Linked DNA regions of Ovis aries. The protein of the gene in region 2 interacts with the protein of the main gene of each other region in a pairwise test. Links are inferred from orthologs where the notes say so. Each region holds a gene or a part of one and is shown on either strand. Other genes may lie near its edges.

Region 1 (4,164 bases), on a different chromosome or scaffold from region 2:
TATGAGAAAATGCAAAAATTGGGCTCATAAAAATAATCTCCTGAAAATAAATGGACTTTTCTGGCAGTTTTTCCCAGAGCACAAAGTGCCTCATTCCTGATCTCCACCCTGAAATCCTTTCAGAGGATGCTACAGGTCAGCAGCTACAGCAGGTCATCATTTAATCCTCATAGATGTAGATGGCGGTGGTGGTTTAGTTGCTAAGTCGTGTCTGACTCTTGCAACCCCATGGACAGTAGCCTCCCAGGCTTCTCTGTCCATGGGATTCTCCAGGCAAGAATACTGGAGTGGGTTGCCATTCCCTTCTCCAAGGTATCTTCCCAACCCAGGAATCGAGCCCAGGTCTCCTGCATTGCAGGCAGATTCTTTACCAACTGAGCTACCAGGGAAGCCCCCAGATAGAAAGTACCAATTTGTCATCAGCACTTGACAAATTGGCACTTGCTAACTTGCATTCTATGTACCAATACTACCAGCAGAGCATATGTTTAAAGGTGAAGATCAGACTTAGATTGCCAAGGTTTAGAACTTGTTCTCACCTAACAAGCTCTTGGATCTCAAGCGGAATATTTAGCCACCTGAACTTTCACTTTCCTTGGGTGCAAAATCTATCCTTTAGAAGTATGGGGACTAAATAAGGTAGTACCATATAACAGCGCTTGCCACACTACCTGTCACATAAGGTTCTCATGGTAGCTATTTACCTGGCTTAAAAGTACTGGTTTAATATTAAGAGAAACTAACAAGTAAGAAACATTAAATCTATTATCTATTATTCCATCAATTTGGTCGCCTAAATCTGGCTTCCCTTGATCATCTTCCCATTACTGCAGTCTCTCCTGGAGAAGGAAATGGCAACCCACTCCAGTACTCTTGCCTGGAGAATCCCATGGAGGGAGGAGCCTGGTAGGCTACAGTCCATGGGGTCGCAAAGAGTCGGACACGACTGAGCGACTATACTTTACTCCATTTCACACAGGAGGTAAAAACTCTAAGACTTCAGTGTTCTCCAGAAGGTGAAAGAAAGAACACTGGTAGTTAATACAAACACAAATCCTTCGCCGTCCTGTGACGCGTTTCTGGCGAACCCAGCATAGGGTCAGCCCATACCTACCTAACCCCGCCCCTCCAATTTCTGGAGGCGGAGACAAATCACAACGCAGGGTGGAAGTCACCTAGCTTCCGGCTAGCTACGCTGGAATTGAGGTGCACAAACGGCCTCCAAGGCGATTTACAGATCGATTGTTTATTGGCTACTAGCAAGCACTCGCTCTCCGCATTGGCTGTTACTGCCCGGCGCCAATGTTCGCGCAGGATGTTCGCTGCAGCTAGTGAGAGTGACAGACACTGCACCTAAATTTCCGGTTCCGGTTCACCGCTGGCGCCATGGCGACCGTTAGAGGGTCGCGGTATCTGCTGACAATAGGCAGATGGCGCCGCAGCTTTGGAATAGCGCCCCAGTTCCGAGTGAGTACCTATTTTCCCTGCTTTCAAAAGAAGCTTTGGACCTCAAGAACAGCTCCTCTCCGAGGAGGTGCGCTTTCGGCAGCTCCTCCTTTAGCCTCCCGCAGCCATCCTCTGTGCCCCCTATTAGCTTTCCTTTTTCTGCAGGCGCTTGCTGCCCTCGTGCCCGGCGTATCCCACGTGGATAACAAGTCCGATTTCCTGGGGAAGAGGCCCCATCGCCGGCACCCTGGCATCCTGCAGCTGTCATGCGTGCGGCTGCCGCAAGGATTGGCTGAAGCCGCGCAGTTACTGCTGCTAGGTGAGTAAAGATGGGAAATGGAAGCTCAAGAAGCGAAGATTGGACCCTGCGTACAAGTGATTCCTCTTTGCATCTTTGGTCCATAGAGAGCTCGATGCCCAATATGGAGAAACAGGTGCAAGCCCTAACCAATTATCTCTGGAGCCGGCATTTACCTGTAGAGCCAGAGGAGCTACAAAGACGGGCTGTTCTTCTTGAGAAAAAAATCCTGGAAAACGCAGGTAGGTCTTTTCAAAAATAAAGAGTAAGCCAAATAGAAAGAGCAGAGGGAAATGAAGAGCTAGTAATAATTCTGCAGCCTCTTAAATAGATACTGCGATTTCTTATTTGACTTTCTAATCAGAGTAGTTATTCATAATGTTGCCTTTCTAAAAGAAGAAAAGTAATTTCAGAGATTGCCTATTAAATTCAGGGCTTTAGTAAAGATCAATGAGTTATTCCCTGACTTCTTGTAGTACCTGGTTTGTAGTAGGCACTCCGTAGGTAAAATAGTACTGAAGTGAACACAATTGTAAGACAAGTTTTTCAAGCCCCTTTCCTTCCTATAGGAACTTTGGAGACATCACATTATTAAATTGGGGGGAAGTGAAGAAATCTACAAAGTACTGTCTATCCTATCCTTTAACTTTTTATTACACTTGCTTTTAATACAGAACAAAACCTGTGAGATAGAGTTGGTTGAATTGAATGAATTGCTGTTAGAGGCAATATATTATCTGATATACTATGGTGGTGGTGGTCATTATTATTCTTACCTGAAACTCTTCTCTAGTTTGGCTTCTCTCTTAAGCATTTTCCATGTGGGAATTGGTAGGGAATGGCAGGCAGTAAATTCAGATATTGTATCTGAGCCCTGTTCTTCCTAGGTCCTTACTTCCAGTGCTTGTTCTTACCCCAGACTCATGTCAGACAGAGAAACATCATGAAGAAGTCCTGCGTGCCTTGCGCAGAACTACCTATCATTGGCAAGAATTGAGGTAAGGGAGACTAGAAGGGCTGCAGAAGAAGGAAAAGTTTGGCTTTTGAGAAGGAGAGTTGGGGAAATACAATTACACCATTTAGTGTGTGAAAAGGCAATCTGGTTTATAAGCCTCCCTAAGACTTGTCTGTGTTGATCAGTGAAAGGGTTGAGCTGGAAGAGCCCTTTGCAAAGATTTCATTTCCTAAAAGTCTGGAGGGTAGCTGCAGGATAGAGATTAATTCCCAGTGGTATGTCTGATTTTTCTGGCAGCTACAATGAGGGACTGAGCCTGGTGTATATGGCAGCAAGACTGGATGGTGGCTTTGCAGCAGTTTCCAGAGCTTTCCATGAGGTGAAATTCCCTCAACTTCCAACCAGAAACTTTACTATCAGTTCCCTTTTTCATAAAGTAATCTGGGGCAAGATTCTTGGGACATTACATGTGCATTTTTTTCGAGAGGTTGTCTTTATCCTCTGAAAGGAATTTTTGACCCAAAAAAAGGTTTAGAATCACTGTTCTAAGACCTTTCTATTCTATAAGGCATTTACACTGAATCTTGACATTCACAGCTCATTTCCTCTGTTGCGGTCCCCTAATTCATGTTTACCAAGACCCTAAATAAGTGTCTGTCTTCCCCACTGTGGGGTATTGAATATTTCTTCAGATCCAAGCTCGCCTTCCAGACTTCCAGCCACAAACCTTGATGGACTTTGGCTCGGGTACTGGCTCTGTCACCTGGTGAGTATCTTTCTCTGTCTCTGTCAGTTCCAACTCTAGAGAGTTAGAGCTAGCTTATGCCACGTCAATATCAAGACACTGGAGAACCAAAGGAAGAAGAGAAAATTGGAACTGATGTGTTTCTTCCCTCAGATTAGACAAGGCATGAGAAGGTATATAAATTAGGGTCAGAACTTAAAGAAATGTCAAGTGAAAAAACCCACATTTAGAAGGATAAAAAAGGAAAGGAATTTGATCTCGGACAGGGATTTACATGTCAGCAAGATTTTTGTGTGTGTGTTCATATAGTTTTTGAGTCTTCTTAACAGTTGTAGATGAAACAAGAAAATAAGATTGCTAGTTTTTCCAACTATTTTAACATAGCGCTCTGTTTCCTCAAGGTTGGGTTAGGGACAGAGGGGTCTCTTGTAGGAATAACTTTGTCGTAAGAACTGAAGATTTATTTTTTGCCACTTTAGGGCTGCTCATAGTACTTGGGGTCAGAGCCTACGTGAGTATATGTGCGTGGACAGCTCAGCTGCCATGTTGGAATTGGCAGAAAAGCTGCTGAAAGGTGAGGACAAAATGTAAGGAAGGGCTTTTCCAAAGTTGAAGGCATTTGCAAAGCAAAGGAGTACCAGAAAGGGTCTTTTACTGGGGAGTAGAGGAGAGGCCGGAAAGTTAAAGATGGGTCTGATGCGATGACCCTGTTGAAGATGC
Region 2 (4,252 bases):
GACAGTTTCTTCCTTGACATGTAGGACATGCCCTCATAGGTGGGAGAGGAGAAGCGGGGGGCTTCTTCATGGAAGAACGGGATACAGGAAGGAAGCAGGAGGGGAGACGTGTGGCCGTGGCTTTGTTAGGAAGGTGACCCAGAGATGCTGCTCTCGGGAGCAAAGTGCTCCCGGCTGTGACCTAAAGAAGCTGCATCAGTGCTAAGGACGCAGGAAGGGCCCTGGGTCCCGAGAGCTCCCGCTCAGATGCCTGAATCCCACCTGTGGCTGAGCTCCATCCTCAGCATCAGCCCTGGGCCTCCCTGGTGGCTCAGTCTGCCTGCAATGCAGGAGACCCTGGTTCCATCCCTGGGTCCGGAAGATCCCCTGGAGAAGGGAATGGCAGCCCACTCCAGTAGTCTTGCCCGGACAATCCCATGGACAGAGGAGCCTGGCGGGCTACAGTCCGTGGGGCTGCCGAGTAGCAAACGTGACTGAGCGACTAACACTTTCACTCTTCACTCTTCATCCTTCTCCCCAGCATCCGTTTTTAAAATACACGTGGTACTGGAAGGAAAGTGTATGAGATAACCAACTGCATGCTTCGGTCAGATCACCAGCCTTTTGTGTGGCAAATGGAGCCCACACAGGAGGGATGGTGGCTAGAAACGGGGGTAGGGCTAAGGGCAGAGGGGAGGTAATAAGACCAAAGCATCTTTCTGAAGCTAAGGGGTATCTAAGGAATAGGACCTTCGGGGATGGAGCTTTTGAGGTTGCTGGCCTCCCATCTGAAGCGTTGGGGAACAGAACTGGACAGTGACTTGCCAGTTTAGTTGCCAGGCACTGAGATTCTCTGCACTTCCACAGACCAGAAGAGACGTCCAAATGCCCTCAGCAGACTCCAAGTCTGTTGACCAAGTGTTTTTAAAGCCCTGCTTTTGCCAGCATTACTGAGGGTTATGGTCAGAGAATATTCAGCCCTCTGGGGTTACGTTTCAAGCCTGGGGAAGCTGAGACCCAGAATATGCTGGAAGGAAAGGCAGCTGCTGCTGCTGCTACTGCTGCTAAGTCACTTCAGTCGTGTCCAACTCTGTGCAACCCCATAGATGGCAGCCCACCAGGCTCCTCTGTCCCTAGGATTCTCCAGATCTGCCACTAATTTTCAGACCAGGTGACAAGGCTGAGTATCACGAGCATATGCTTAAATCAACTCCGCTCCCAAGTGCCATGAGAAAGTCAATGTTGGTTTTAATAAACGCTAACAGATAAGAGGATAATTTGCAGGTCAATGTAATTGATTTGGATAGAATCCTAATACTAACAGCAAAGAGGCTAAAGATGTCCTCTCTCATCGTATGTGGTAGTTTTAGCTAATTGTTTAACACAGAATCTTCCGAAATCCTCCTAACACTTTTTCAAACTGGCAGAGCTACAGGCATTGTCGGCCACAGATTCCATAGCTTCCAAAGAACAAACCCAAACAAAGGGGATTGAAAAAAGGCAACAGAGAGGGACAAGGCGGGGCCCTGGAGGGGTGATGGGACCCTATTCTGACCTGGTGAGGAGCCTTCATTAACAATCTCGCAGGAAACAGTGCCTTTATGAGATTCACAGAGAGTGCTCACTGGGAAAATGGGAGTGCTGGGGAGAACCGGTAGGTAGAAAAGGAATGGGGGGGGGGCGGGGGCAAGGGAGGTGGGGGGGGCAAGGGGGGGGGGGGGGGCAAGGGAGGTGGAGGGGCGGCGTGCAGAGAACTTGGGAAGGAAGTAACTAGGGAAGGCTGGCAAGTTAATGCCCTGGAGAGAAACAGATTAGAAAACACAAATATTTACTGTGAGGAAGGAAAACTGGAAATCAATAAGACCCGAAAAGACCTAAGGGTGATAACAAATAGAGAATCACAGACATTCGCAATGCAAATGAGAAGCGTTCAGGCAGGGTTGGGAGCTGGGGGGGTGCAGAGGCACTTTCTGGAGACACAGAGCTGCTCCTGCAATTTCTTCTCAAAACAAATGGACTCAGTCTCAGAACCAGAACGGAGCAGAATGTGGCAGATTCGTGCAGGGGCTTGGCAGTTAAGATGGGGGGTGGGGAGGCACCCTGTCCTAAAAGCCAGGGAAGAAGCAGGCGGCATGTGCCCAGCTTGTGGCAGAGGACGTGGGCACTGACCTGGCTTCAAGCCTCTAACTCCAGCTCCGCCATTACTAGTGGACTTGCTGAGGTTCCCAGTTCCCGGTCCTTTGCAATCTCTCCCTCGCTCTGCATGGCCCAGGGCCCCGATGTGACCAATCCAGTGCGCAGTCACTCTCCTTTCTTCCCCGTGTGACCCAGATCAACCCTTCCCCTGCCACCAGCCGTCAGCCTCTCCTTTGGGGAGGTCCAGTCGGCACACTGGTCCCTCTCACAGCCCGCTCAGATCATCTAAACGCAGAGGTGCCCCTTTATCCCCAGAGAGAAGGAAATGGCAACCCACTCCAGTACTCTTGCCTGGAGAATCCCATGGACAGAGGAGCCTGGCGGGGCCACAGTCCACGGGGTGGCAAAGAGTCGGGTGCGACTGAGCACGCTTCCCCCAGAGTGTGCCCAGCCCATCCTGGCAGGGGTCTGGAGCCTGACTCAGGACTTGTGCGCCTCCAGAGTACCCTGGACGCTCATCTGCCCGTGTGTGGCACAGGCAGCAGGTTGAACTCTAATTTCATGCCTCCAAGACCCCACTGGGGAGTCAACCCTCTCCCCACACATCCCTGGACAGAGCTTTCAGATCGTTACCTCTGCGTTGGATTCCTCCACCCTACATTTCAGCCCCTCTGGTTGCACCGCCATGATCTTCCCCCAGGGCCTTAGGTGACTCTGGAGAAGCAAGGCTGCCCCCTTTGTGACATAGCAGCAGAAACAATCCAATCAGGAGGACCCCTCCCGGGAAACGGCTGCTTAGCAGAAGGAGAACTGAGAATGTCCAGCCTGTCGCCCGTGCGCTGGCCTCCATTCTGACCCCCCCAGGCTCATCCCCCTTACGCTCTGTCCCTGGTACACGGCAGGCCCTAATTCTCCTGACCCCTCCACAGGAGCCCAGACCCCTCGGTCCATGTCCCAGGTGTATGGGTTCGGGCCTGTGCCCTTGATCCCAAGTCTCAGTTCTAATCCTCTACCCAGAAGTCCAGAGTAGTGCACAATGTGGGTGTGTGCTAAGTCGCTTCAGTCGTGTCCGACTCTGCAACCCTCTGGACTGTAGCCCGTTAGGCTCCTCTGTCCGTGGGATTCTCCAGGCAAGAATTCTGGAGTGGGTTGCCATTTCCTCCTCCAGGGGATCTTCCCCACCCAGGGATCGAACCCGGGTCTCTTGCGTCTTTTGCATTGGCAGGCGGTTTCTTTACCACTAGTGCCCCCTGGTGGTAAAGAAGCTCCAAACGCTCTAATTTTGAAAAGATTGTCACAGAAACTTCTAGTGGTCGGGCTGGATGGTCTTACCAGATCAATGAACCCACCCTCTCATCTGACCGGAAACCCAAGACTCCAAGTGACTAAGTGGACTGCCCCTGGCACACAGCTGGCTGGCAGCTGACCTTCAGCTAGAATCTGAGGCCCTGGCTACCACTGACCTGCAGTATCTTGCTAGAGCTTGGAAAGAGGGGGATTATTCTGGCCAAAACTGAGAGGTTACAGCCTTCAGTGTTCATCCCTACCTGAGGTAGAACCACATTGATGGGAATTTCTAGGCTTTCAGATCTGGTATCTCTTTTTCTTGTAAAATTTGGCCTCGAGTGCTGTGGAAAAGAGAAAATAGGCAGATTTCTGTTTTCCAGCCCATCGTCTGAGCCTCAGCTGCTCAACTGCAAAACAGGACTTCCTACTATTCACTTCTCCCCTCCTGTTAATTATGTACCTTACGAGAATGTGAAGATGGTATCTGATAAGATGCTTCATCAATCTCTGAACAGAAATTAAGACAGGTCTATATAGTTGATGACAAAGCCTTCTGAAAGTCTTTAGCTACTAGCTTTCCTAAGATTACTATTTCTAGCTCAAGGAAAAAGCCATACCAACGTTAGGTGCCAGGTATAGGTCCTGTGCAGAAGTTGGTCACCAAAACACTCAGAACATTCCAGAGGTGACATCACAAAACAATACGGTCTTTTTCAAGGCTCATGGTCTCTCTCTGAGCATCACAGGTGGGAATGAGGGGCCTGCTGGCCAGGCATCTGGTTGTGTCCACGTGGCCGGTCAGGGTCGGTGTGACACACAATAGCCCAGACACTGGACCCCTGTTTGGTCA

What was found. The genes of interacting proteins can lie anywhere in the genome.
Region 1: the proteins of CBY2 (region 2) and METTL17 interact in binary tests that used the Homo sapiens proteins (3 or more experiments, as listed by UniProt). The link is inferred for Ovis aries from reciprocal best matches to the Homo sapiens genes CBY2 and METTL17.

What each region holds. Positions count from the first base shown.
Region 1 is NC_056060.1:24,452,291-24,456,454, reverse strand, and holds the start of METTL17 (methyltransferase-like protein 17, mitochondrial), read left to right. Parts: upstream 1-1,355; 5' UTR 1,356-1,386; coding exon 1,387-1,467; intron 1,468-1,611; coding exon 1,612-1,765; intron 1,766-1,851; coding exon 1,852-1,986; intron 1,987-2,663; coding exon 2,664-2,742; intron 2,743-2,996; coding exon 2,997-3,078; intron 3,079-3,391; coding exon 3,392-3,465; intron 3,466-3,923; coding exon 3,924-4,018; intron 4,019-4,164. UniProt on the Homo sapiens protein: Mitochondrial ribosome (mitoribosome) assembly factor. Binds at the interface of the head and body domains of the mitochondrial small ribosomal subunit (mt-SSU), occluding the mRNA channel and preventing compaction of the head domain towards the body.
Region 2 is NC_056063.1:16,145,743-16,149,994, reverse strand, and holds the start of CBY2 (protein chibby homolog 2), read right to left. Parts: upstream 2,803-4,252; coding exon 2,749-2,802; intron 1-2,748.